3 linked regions of the Solanum lycopersicum genome follow. The protein of the gene in region 3 binds, or shares a complex with, the protein of the main gene of each other region. Links are inferred from orthologs where the notes say so. Each region holds a gene or a part of one and is shown on either strand. Other genes may lie near its edges. The genes, in order: actin-related protein 4, actin-related protein 6 and SWR1 complex subunit 2.

Region 1 (3,651 bases), on a different chromosome or scaffold from region 3:
GCAAAAATATTGTGTTTTAATTGGACCACAAAGATAGTTCATTATAGATTTAGTGACAAGATCTATAAGAACAAGATTAATTGAGAATTCTCAAAAAAAAATAAATAAACTGAGCAAGAATAATTGACTAACTTGGAGATGGGTAGAGGGGCAGGCTATTATTCATTGAGTTTTGAACTGTGTTTCTGCTGGTCCTTGGGTATTTCTCAGTTATAAAATAAATAAATTGTGTTAAATTTGGATCATTTGACACAACAAAATATTTAACATAACTTATTAATTAACCAAAAATGGCTTTTAGCGAAAATTTATCTTAAGAGTGAGTTATTTTTCTATGTTAGAATTATTGATTGTTTTATATATTATGCTTTAATATAGATCCATATAGGTGATATCTACTTGTTGGGAATAAGCTTGAGTCTTGTTGAAACCTACACTCTAGAACCTCTTTTACCTGTGTCAGACACTTGCATATGTACCCTTTGCATCTAGATTGCCATGCAGTCTTTGCGTGATTGCTCTTATATTAATGTAAATAATGTCACATTAGTGATTCATCCTAAAAAGGAAAGACAATTATGTAGATACTGCTTGCAATCTATTTTTGAAGATCAGACTACAATTTTTTTCCCGGAGAATTGTAACAAGTTGTTATATAAAGGTAGACCACACAAGCTGTGAAGTCACCCAAAACAGTGTGAATTATAGTTAAGAGTTCCTAGATCTAAGCCTCCCTACATGTAATCTAGAACATTAAAAATTGACTGCGATTCCTCTATGTATTCTTTTTTACACTAAATTGTGAAAGTCTAAACGGTTGATCTTCAACTTCTGGATAGTGCTTCGTTTGTGTTCAAAACATCTCTGATTCCTTTTATTCACCAAATGCATGATGGGACAATCCTCCATTTCTCTTTTTGACTTCTTTGATCACTTGAATTCCTGCTTTATGTGAAGAAATGTGGTATTACTGATTCATTTGAAGATTAAGAGAAAAAAGTCTTCCTTATATGCTTTTCTTGTGTTACTTTTTTGTTCTTTTGTCCCGTCATTTGGTTAAGTTGATGCTTGCCTATTGAAGATTGGGAGAAAAAAGAACCTTTTTCTTCTGCTACTTACATTCCTTTACAGGGAATGCTTACTGATCGATCCAAAGGAGCATCCAATGTTACTTGCAGAGCCTTGTTCAAACACTCAGCAGCAGAGGGAAAAGTGAGCAATGCGATCTGTATTTTAGCAGTCTTATTACTTCACATTAAATCATGTCATTTATCTTTTGGGCATTGTGTAATAATAATGTACATGATTTCAAGCTTTATTATTCCTGAATGTGTTGCCTTTTTCTGCCTATTTTTGCGTTTTATGTTAATTTATTGGAGAACACACTTTTATTAGGAGGACGAGAAAAATATAAGATGAAAGCACATCCTCAAGTTAAGTTAACATATTTATCAATCCTGTAGGCCCACATGTCTTTTCTATTTCAAAGGGGAAAGGTATGAGAATTCTAACAGCTTCCTTTTATTTAAAAGTCATTAACAAACCAACAAGGTTGGTGGTGAAGATGTAAGTACTCCTTCATCCTTAACCAAGAGGTCTCGGGTTTGGGTCTCCTTTGTTAGGGAGCGCTCCCCCCCACCCCCACCCCCACCCCCACCCCCAAACCCAAACCCAATGTGGGACTTCCCGGAGTGAATCCGGATTTAGTCGGGCTCCAATGTGGGTATCGGAGAGGTGGAGACAGGGTGGGAAGCCATAAAAAGAAGAAGTCATTAACATCAGAAGTTTGTTAGTTTGATGTGAATACAATATATATCCAATTAAACGAAGTATAAGGTGATGGGTACTTTTATAATTGATGAATGCTAAAAGTGCAGCTATTTGTGATGAATAAGGACCTAGAGCACCGATACAGTGATGTAGCAATATGGAGTAGGGTGAAAGAGAAGGGGGGAATATGAGAAAAGAGAGGAGAGAAGAGCAGTGAGAGTAGAATAAAACAGAAATAGAGTGAGAGAAGAATCCACAAAAGTGAGATTTTAGAAGCAGTTCATCTGTAAATCTCTTTTGACTAGAGCGATTCTTGTGCCATGCTTGAGTAATTTGGACCTATCAAAATACTTCTCTAAGCTATCTTCCCTATTAAAGAACAAATCTAGGTCAAGTTCCCATCAAATTTATGTCTGTCCACCTTGACTTTTTTTATAAGGTCATTGTGGTCCTCACAGGTGGTGGATTTCTCTCAAACATAAGATCACTTATTAGGGCCTTGCCTGGAATTCCTATTCGTGGTGGTCTGCTAAGTTAGGACTGTCAACTACTGACTGGTGTACTGATCAACTGTTTGTTTGCCAAGAATGGATCCAAAGTGTCAATATAAAAGCCTTATCTTGTTTAATTTGTAATACCTTCTAGAATCAGTCGAGTCCAAGGAATTACTTTCCTTAACAAGAACTGTCTACTGTGAAAGAAATTGTCCATCATGAACCCAAAAAAGAGGAAAGGCAGCCTGGTGTTTGCATTATTATGTCATCTGTATGCAAAATGGAAATTACAGTGGACTGATGATCATCTATTTAACAGGGCTGCAGAGATAATGTTTGAAAAATACCAAGTTCCAGCATTGTTTTTGGCCAAAAATGCTGTAAGTGCCTTAACCCACTTCTAATCTTTAATTTGTAGCGTCTTAAACATAACCTTCTTTGTGCTATTTAGTAGTGGAACTTCCACTTTTGATTCAAGAACAAAGAAAAAATAATAAAGAAAGCTGTAGCTTCATAACATTACAAGATCATTCCACTCTAGTTGTTAATTTTCTCATGGTACTGTTAATGCTAGGTTCTCACATCTTTCGCATCAGGACGTGCAACTTCTTTGGTTGTTGACAGGTAGGATGTTATGTTCTACTTACTGGCTACCCTTTTGAATTACTTATTTGACTATTCTTGTCAATAATAGAGTTCTTTTACTGAGATATCTAGTCTCTTAGCCGTAAGATCATTTATAATATTTGCATTATCTCTTTGTACCTTCTCCTTGAAGTGGGATATGAAAAAATTGTAGACTTCATGACTTCTGGTGCATGATGGCATCTTAATTTTAGTATCTTTTCACCTTGAATAGTTAAATTTCCATACATTTACATCTGTAGCAGTCTAAATTTTATTCATAACTGTATGATGATCGATGAGCGAATGGTGAAAATGAGAGAATCTCAAGTAGGCTAGCATCTTATTCGTTAAGAATTATGTTTGAGAATATGGAGATATGATGTCTATCTTTGCAATCAGTATTAAGAATATGTGATAATGTGAATTATAGAAATGCTATAATGCTCTAGTTTAGATTAGGTGGATACTATTCTGTATTGTTGCTCTAGTTTATATTAGGTGGATACTATTCTGTATTGTTATTCTCTTTCAATCTCCACTATTGCTTAGTATACCTGTAATACCCTTCCATTTCAATCATCTTTTTAATAATTCTAGTATGCGATGTCTTCTGTTTCTTGAGCAAGTACCAGTTTTGTATATTTAAGCAAAAAAACTCAATAGGTTGTGCTGAAACCATATTTTCAATGGGGAAAAAAGAACAGAAATCTAGGATATTAATGATTGAAGCAGTGTCTTCTATGTAGTTCTGTTTACACCA
Region 2 (4,377 bases), on a different chromosome or scaffold from region 3:
CCAAAGTTGTTCCATCAGTCTTGATCCGCATGTCGTAGTCGTACAGCCAATGATATGTGTAATTTCATCTTGTCCTTAACAAGTTGCAACATAACACCCATACTACAATCAAGGACGAGCGACACCAGTATTCACATTGAAGATGCCAACAACATTTCATTGCAGATAAGTTAGATTTCAACCAAGGAGAGTTCTGCAATATTTATAAGAAACAGACTAGAATAAGAATCATTTCAGAGCAAATCTGTTTTCAATTTCCTCGGTATTTAGCTCATTGGCAACTGCAGAGGCCAACTATCATCCTAAAATCTGAATTTCTCCTCTCCATAACACTAGAAAAGTTAGTGGAAGAATCTCTTTCGACATCTTGCTGATCCCAGCTCCTCATATTCAGCTTTTGTGATACACATTGCATCAAAGTCAGGACTTGATGCCAAGAGTGATCCCCCACGCCAAACACCTAAAATAGGACTGCAAACAGTAACAAAAGACATGTTAGAGTAGTAGAAACTCTTTGAACAGTTTCTCCAGAAGGACAGTATATTACTCTTCTTGAGTTGTGATCTTTAAACAATATTTATCTGGGACAAGAGGCCGAAGGTCCATTTCTCTGCATTTAGATGAAATTTCAAGACATAAGCAAATAGAACATCCAGCCTTTTTAAAGCAATGGGCAATAAAGGCTGCATTCTTACAGTCTTTTGGCAAAATGAGGAAATAGAGTACTGCCTCCCGTCAGAATAATGCTTCCTCGTCCAAATTCAATACATTGACATTAGAAGAAGGAAGATAAACATAAACCAATATTAGTAGATAAGCTTTTGAGATGCACCGATGATTCTGCACTACCTCTCATATAGAACAGGGTGAAGATGAGAATGGCAGGAACTGATAGCTCGATGAATGCACTCTGCAAGTCCAGCCTGATTCAGTCCTGTAAGCCACAAATAACTGAGATGCTGACAACCAAATTCATACTTGTGAATAAACAAATTCATAGAGCTACACTTCCAGACACTCTAATTCACATGAAAGGGAAAAAAATGCTGAATTATTGAAGCAGATTCTTCAACTGAACACAAAACTGAAATACAAGTCAAAGATACACTGTGATACGGACCCAAGTCAGCTGGACGAAACATCATCTCTGGGACAAGGAACCGCTCATTTGTTAAGCCAAATTCCTGTTCATACAAATAAATTAGAATAAATGGAAAGAGGATGACGAGCTATTTATAAGGGCTTGGAAAAAGTACATTTTTTGTCAAATCAATTTTTGATCCATTGTTTCTGTTCCTGTCTTCGGAATTGTCAGTGTTCTCGAGCTGATCCATATCAATTTGTTCCCCTGCTACCTGCTGCGGAGCTTCATCATACAAAGGAAGATATCTCTTTGGTTCTTCAGGGTCTTTCAAAAAGCCCTTAGTATGTGTAATACCGTCAGGAAGAACATACGTACACCTAAACAAATTGTCCTTCCCCGGTTTCCTGGGAGATTGACATAGTAGTTATGAATAAGGAAGATCCCAGCATGTTTGACACTCAAAGATCATCTTACTTTAATGTGGATTTTCTGCTCGCTTAATCTAAGTTTTAAGTTTAGAAAGCGGTTCAAACATCACGGCATTGAAGGATCCTAATTCTACATTTGTTCCAGAGGGGCCAAAACATGTAATTGACTAGAGATCCCTTTGAACTACTTAATGGTAGTCGAGTACACTACACGACCCATCCTGCGTTCATGCCCCCATCCTTTTAAACTAGTTATTACACTAAAATAAGAGCAAACAGACCCCATAAGGTGCAGCACTTAATTCGGAATGGCAAGAACTTTGATATCCACAGGAGGATAACAATGACACAACAAGTATCGAAATTAATGAGCATTACCTAGCAATGTGCAAGTCCCTGGGAAGATCCAAAGAGACAAAGCAAAGTTCCTCCTTAACATGATCCATAAGGAAACTTTCATCCATCAAATTAACACTTCTATAACTGACCAACTCCTTTAAGTAATTACTCAAAGCTTTACCCCCAAGATCAAGTCTTTTAACAGCATAATTCAATGTAAAATTCTGAACTACCGGGGAAGCATGAGTAAAGGAAAATCCACAGTCGACAACTAAGCTACACTGGGCTTTAGAAACAAGGCCATAAGGGCGACGAGATGCTTCATAAAGATGAACTAAAGAGGGGGAATCTGATACATAAAGAGCCTTAAAATTAAAATCTTCGAATACAATTTCGTCGATTGAACGTTGTATGGAAGGGATATTGAAAAGGGGTTCAGTAAGAAGTAGAGAAGAGTGTGAAGGAGTAATTTTGAGAAGGTTCGAGAAGATGTGAGACCAAATGGAAGATTGGAGATCAGGGTTGATAAGATAACCGCGGTCGAAAGGGCGGCGGGCGGTGGCTGAAGTGAGGTCGACGTCTGGGGAAAGAAGCTGGTCAGCCATAAGCCATTTCTTGGAAGAAAGTGGACGGCCCATGCTGTTGGGGACAATAGCTGTTGGATCTCTTTCGCCGCCGATACCAGCCTTGATTACGCCGGCGCCGTTGTCCAAAACTACAACATTCGACATTTCCGATTGCCACACTAACTGAACACCCAGCTTCCTAATTTATGGCGCAATGAATTAAATCCATCGGCATGATAATTGATTTTTTGGGACGAATTGAAGTGAGAATTTATGTTGAAAGAAAAAAGCGGCTAATGGGGGTGGCAAACATTTGTTACGAGTATCATGATTTATTATATGAGAAAGGGTTTGATATACTAAAAAATTTATGTGGAATTATATATATCTTTCTTATTCTAGGATTAGTATTATCACTATGTTCTTACGAGATTATTATAGAGTCTTGTATTGTTTTTGTATCGTCTTTGGCGATCTCAAATCCTTCCTTTTTTAGGATAAGATTAAGATTTGCAACTCTTATTTACAATAGCCCTTATCTCATAACTCTCACTCCATTAAAGAATACATAATTCTTCCTCTTTTATCATACAAAGTTATTTTTAGTATAGTTATAACTTACTTCATGAGTGAAGCAAGTTATTAATCAACCTATTAATAGATGTATCTATTTCCAACATCTCACACTCACACATGAAGGGATGAAGCACGTTGGGCTTTGAAAAGTAAATTCATTCACACATTCATAGCAAGTGTATTGTCGTGACCGCTTTGACAATAAGTTTGAAAGCTCTTACACTAGAAATCTCTTTTTAGATCAGCATAAGAGACTACTACCCTTTTTATGATCATTTATGATATATTATGATGTCATATAAAGTGCCTTAGATACGCCAATCATGTTTATATACACATATGGTTTTTTAATTCTCTATTCATTTTCAATTCTCATATACCTTGTGTCAACCCTTATGATGTCAACTAAAGTAGGTTTTATAATGGACAACACTCAAACACAAGCATAATGTGTTTATATCTAACATGATCTTTTTTCGCCCACATATCACTATGATGAGGATTAATTATAACATTACTCCTTCAGGTGACATTTTCATAACTTTTAGATTCATACAAACTAGTATACACTAACCCATCACTTTATGATATTGTCAAAGTCATAAAAAAAATCTTTTCAAGGTCTCATACCATTTCAATTTGCGGTAATGAAGCACATGCAATATGAAATGTATGTCAATTTTTATTTTTTTACACCCTACAAATTTTGGTCCAAGTAAATCATTTTTTTGACTTGAATTCTACCATTTTATTAGACTTTTTGAGGAGATCTCACATATGGCTACAAGTATTATGGGAAATTCATAATTTCGACCATTTTTGACATTTATCTTAGATCTCCTCCTAATCTTTTATTAAGGCAACTTTAAATAATATATTCTTAATCAAAGGTGTCACATTTATTAACTATCCTTTTTAGCGTTAAGAAACACAAATGTCTCATCTTGACTCACTTTCCATAAGACCCCGAGCTGATTGCTCATGTGAGAAACTCAATATTATCAAGTTGTTCGACATATTCTAATATTGTGAATGTGCTGATTAATAATAATGTATGAAATAAGCACAAAAAACATAAAAAAAAACTATCCATACATCACGATCAAGATATTCAAATAAGAAAATATATCATTTTATAACTCACGCGAGCTTATAGATTTTCCATGTTTAACAAAGACAGATATTGGCTTTGTCAAGGGATCTACTACCATCTTGTGTGTAGAAATACACTATAAAGTGATTTCCTTACGAGCTATAATGTCTTTAATAAAATTATACTTTGTGTCTATGTACTTAGTCTTACTATGATACTTAAGGTCTTTAATATAAGTCAATGTTTCTTGGCTATCACAAAAGATTTGCATTGCATCCATTGTCCTACCAA
Region 3 (4,137 bases):
TATTTAAAAAAAATTGATTCAAATTTTTTTTAAAAAAAATAAATCATTGGCAGCGTTTTTTAATTAGTTTTTTTTTAAAAAAATCAAATCGCTGTAAAAGCAGCGATTTACACTTAATTTATATTCTTTTTAAAAAAATTTAATTAAATCGCTGCAAAAAAAATTAGCCGATTAAATTAAGTTTTCAAAAGAAAATAATAAAAATTTAAGTGTAAAACAAAAAATGTGTTAATTAAGAATTCATAACATAAACACATATAAAGATCAGCCCAAAAAATGTGTTAATTAAGATTATTTTTTTTGAAAACTTAATTTAATCGGTTAATTTTTTTTGCAGCGATTTAATTAAATTTTTTTAAAAAAATAATTAAGTGTAAATCCTTTACATCGATTTGATTTTTTTTAAAAAAACTAATTAAAAATCGGTGCAAATGATTTTTTTTTTAAAAAAAAATTAAATCTAACTTTTTTTTTTAAATAAAGTAAAAAAAAATAATTAAAAAAATAAATTGATGGAAGTCACTGCAGAAGCAGCGACTTATACATTTTTTTTTTTTGAAAATCGCTCCGTGTGGAGCGATTTGTTTGATTTTAATTTTTTTTTTAAAAAAAAAGCAAATTTAAGAAATCGCTGCAATTGCAGCGATTTCGCTTTTTCAGAAGGCAAAAGTCACTACATCATGAACAATTTTACCGTTTTGATTTTAAAAAAAATTAATATGCCCTTTTAGAATTTTTGACAATTTTCTTTATCCTTTTAACTCCGCCCTCTAGTAATATTCATAAATATGTTCACTTCCCAAACATAATATTTTTATATTTTAGGTTTATTTAGTATTAAGTACTAACTATAATCTTTCAATATTTTTTGATCCAATAATAGTATATTTTTTTTTCATTTTATTAATTTAACGTGAAATGTGTTATGTAGTAAATACATATTTAATAACAAGGATAAAATAAATACAAAAGATAACTTATTTCTTAATTTTTAAAATTGTGCAAAATATTATTGAATACTATGTTTAATATAACGAAGACACAACTATTATTGGACAAAAAATATATATATTTATTTTACTTATAGAAGGTTTAAATTCAAGCGAACGGAGAAGTATTTTTTTTTAATATATCTAAATTTTGAATCGATAAATTTATTTCATACATTACTGAAAAATAAGTAGGTATCTTATATATTTTTAAATTTAAAGGTAAATTATTAATTTCGTTTTTAAAATATTGACCGCGTTAGAAATATTCTTTTAGGTGACTTATTAAATATAGATATACCTTCCGTCTCACTCATGTTACATGATGTGGAGTGTATTTAGGTTTAGTTAGTCAAATAAAAAAGTATTTATAATATCGTCAATAATTTGAAGATATAAATTAATAATTCACACTAAATTTAAGAGCGTTTTCAATATTTTTTTCTCGCGGATACATGTAAGAAACAAAAATCACAATTGAGTTCTCTTACTTTTATTAATTTTATTAACATAGTTTAGTACTTGTGATTGTTTAACGAACACCAACTGTTCGACAAATTGTCTCTGTAAAAGATTGTAACTTTTTTATAACCAAAATCAAGATTCTGAAATCTGATCAGCAGATATGGAGACCAGTAAAGAGGGAAATGCAGTTTTTCTCGATCGTACTTCTCGTGCTACTAGAGGCAAACGGTAAATCAAGATACCCAATTTCAATCAGTTCATAATTTTTCTGGTTTGGGGTTTGTTTGTTGTGTGTATAATTTTGTGGGTTGAGTTTAATTTAAGTTTATTTGTTGTAAAAATGGGATTTTTATATGACAGGATGACTAAATTGTTGGATGATGAGGTAGAAGAGGATGAACTTTTCTGGAATCAGGAAGCTCTTAAAGATGTATGTTGTTTTTTACAATAACAATGTCACGACATTTTTGTGTTATATTGTAATTGTAGTTAGTAGGTAGCAACTTAAGCTTAATGTTTGTATAGAATTGGAGCCTGACGAGAGTAGAGTGTATGCAGTAGAGTGGTTGTTTCTGATAGACGCTCGGCTCAAGGAGAAGCAACTTTATAAAAGAAAAGATTATTTTTTGAAACTTTGTGGAAAAAAAGATCAATTTTTTTTTCTATATTGGATGGTTTCTTCGTGAGGGGGTTGGGGGCAGAGGTGGAGCTGGGGTTTGAAACTTATGGGTTTGGGATTCTTGTCTTTTTAAGCTTTGGGTTCTAAAATTAATAATGTGTTCTTATTCAATGAGTTTTTAATACAAATACAGGGTTTGGACCAAAGTTGGTGGGTGTTGTCAGGAGAAGAATATGCATTTGACCATGTTAAGTTTATATCAGTTGGTGAATGGTAAGGGGAAATGATAGGAAACAACTATGTCTAATTTAGCTTTAAGAAGTTCAAATAAAGTTGGGAAGAATTGGCCCAAACCATATATTCAGGAGCCTTTCAAGTTTCAGAAAATTTCATCAATTACTGCACCCTTCATCTGTCTCTTTGTGCCTAGGTATCCACTGTAAGTTTCAGAATAGAATGGAGAATATTCATAAAGTGATCACTAGGAGTTGGATAGGCATGTTCAGTGGAAACAAGAAGGGATTTGTTAGCTTGTTATTTCATAGGAAACAGTTAAATGGATTCTGAGTTGGAAAGTTTGTGAACTAAGAAACAAAAAGCTTTAGTATCCGATGCGTGTTTAATGTGGATTATTGAGGCAGATTGAAGTGCAACTGCTACTGGCTTTTAGAGATTCACGTTTCTTTGCTTTCTCTGGCAAGTCCAAAAGTAGCATAGAGCACAAAGAAAATGATATTTATTTTTTGATAAAGGAACACCAAGAAAATGATGAAAGCTGAAGTTTCTCAAATATGGACGTAATTGTGCTTTTACGGAGAATATAACAAAGGAAAGTTTCTACTATGTGTTCTTAGGTTCAAATCCTAGCTGAGACAAAAAACGTTAGGTGATTTCTTACTATCTATCTGTCCTAGCTTTGGTGGACAGAGTTACATGATACTTGCTGGTGGTGGACAGACTTGTCAAGGTGTATGTAAGCTAGCCCACACACCATGGTTATCAAAAAAGATATTTTTCTCTGGAATAACTGCTGGTTCTTTACTTTACTGGTCTAAAATAATGATGATAATTATAATAATGCAGCCTCCATTATCCCAGCAGCTCTAGTTTGAGTGAAAATGACTGCAGCCTCCGTTATTCGAGCAGTAGTAGTCTTTTACTCAAATCATAGGCCTTGACATTTCGAATCCATGGTTGTAATTGGGCCTGAAAGTTTTGATATTTTAATTGCTTTGGAAATCCAGATCCACAAACCTTCCATAAAATATTTGGTTTGTGCTTGTTTGGCAAATTTGCTTATTGAATTTAATGAGCTTTTGGTTGGATGTAAATCAGGAAGAGAATGACATTGAATATGAAGAGGAAGGGGAAGCTGTGGATGTTTTCGACAGTGACTTTGATGAAGATGTAAGTTCTAAGTGTTCCATTTCTCATCACTGAACCTTTCATTTCACAAATTTTTGTGATGGATTGGTTACTTGTACTGGCAGTTCTAGCTTGGAAGGGTACGTTTATCGATAATTCTGTTCTCGAATGACCTATGTTAAAAATGACTTTCCTAATATTGTTTCAGGAACCCGAGCCTGATGAAGAAGGAGAAAATGAACCCGATGACAGGTTTGACACACTCACGTTGATGGGAAGTGTCCGTTTAGCTCCATATGGATAGTCCTTAGATTTATATTCTTCTCTTTTCTATGGCAGGACACAGACCAAAAAGCGATTGACCTATCCAGGAAGACCGCCTGCAAAGAAGAAAAAGAAAATGAAAGCCCTTACCAAGACAGAAAAGGCACACCAAGAAAATGAAGAAGCTCCAGATCCGTCCACCCCTTCTGAACATCATGGTGCTCATGATGATACTGAAGCAGAAAGAACAATTAGGAAATCAACAAGAACGGCTGTCGTTGTAAAACAAGCTGAAAGGGAAGCCATTCGTGCAGCCTTGCAGGCAACAACAAAGGTAGGGTGCTTGCACTATAATGCTATTTGTGATAGTACAAATAACAAATTATAATTTCTTACATGGCAGGCTTCTTTATTTTCTGGATTTAGGACACAGCC

What was found.
Region 1: SWR1 complex subunit 2 (region 3) and actin-related protein 4 share a complex: the UniProt entries of both Arabidopsis thaliana proteins name them as parts of the SWR1 chromatin-remodeling complex. The link is inferred for Solanum lycopersicum from reciprocal best matches to the Arabidopsis thaliana genes SWC2 and ARP4.
Region 2: SWR1 complex subunit 2 (region 3) and actin-related protein 6 share a complex: the UniProt entries of both Arabidopsis thaliana proteins name them as parts of the SWR1 chromatin-remodeling complex. The link is inferred for Solanum lycopersicum from reciprocal best matches to the Arabidopsis thaliana genes SWC2 and ARP6.

Annotation. Positions count from the first base shown.
Region 1 is NC_090811.1:50,227,755-50,231,405, forward strand, and holds part of actin-related protein 4, read left to right. Parts: intron 1-1,131; coding exon 1,132-1,212; intron 1,213-2,583; coding exon 2,584-2,644; intron 2,645-2,838; coding exon 2,839-2,888; intron 2,889-3,651. UniProt on the Arabidopsis thaliana protein: Involved in several developmental processes including organization of plant organs, flowering time, anther development, flower senescence and fertility, probably by regulating the chromatin structure.
Region 2 is NC_090804.1:24,555,555-24,559,931, forward strand, and holds the start of actin-related protein 6, read right to left. Parts: upstream 2,928-4,377; 5' UTR 2,583-2,927; coding exon 1,891-2,582; intron 1,489-1,890; coding exon 1,257-1,488; intron 1,185-1,256; coding exon 1,121-1,184; intron 935-1,120; coding exon 850-934; intron 747-849; coding exon 696-746; intron 611-695; coding exon 548-610; intron 472-547; coding exon 342-471; 3' UTR 1-341. UniProt on the Arabidopsis thaliana protein: Component of the SWR1 complex which mediates the ATP-dependent exchange of histone H2A for the H2A variant H2A.F/Z leading to transcriptional regulation of selected genes (e.g. FLC) by chromatin remodeling. Binds to the promoter region of FLC chromatin.
Region 3 is NC_090803.1:3,732,715-3,736,851, reverse strand, and holds the start of SWR1 complex subunit 2, read left to right. Parts: upstream 1-1,304; 5' UTR 1,305-1,614; coding exon 1,615-1,682; intron 1,683-1,814; coding exon 1,815-1,884; intron 1,885-3,408; coding exon 3,409-3,480; intron 3,481-3,646; coding exon 3,647-3,690; intron 3,691-3,777; coding exon 3,778-4,036; intron 4,037-4,137. UniProt on the Arabidopsis thaliana protein: Component of the SWR1 complex which mediates the ATP-dependent exchange of histone H2A for the H2A variant H2A.F/Z leading to transcriptional regulation of selected genes (e.g. FLC) by chromatin remodeling.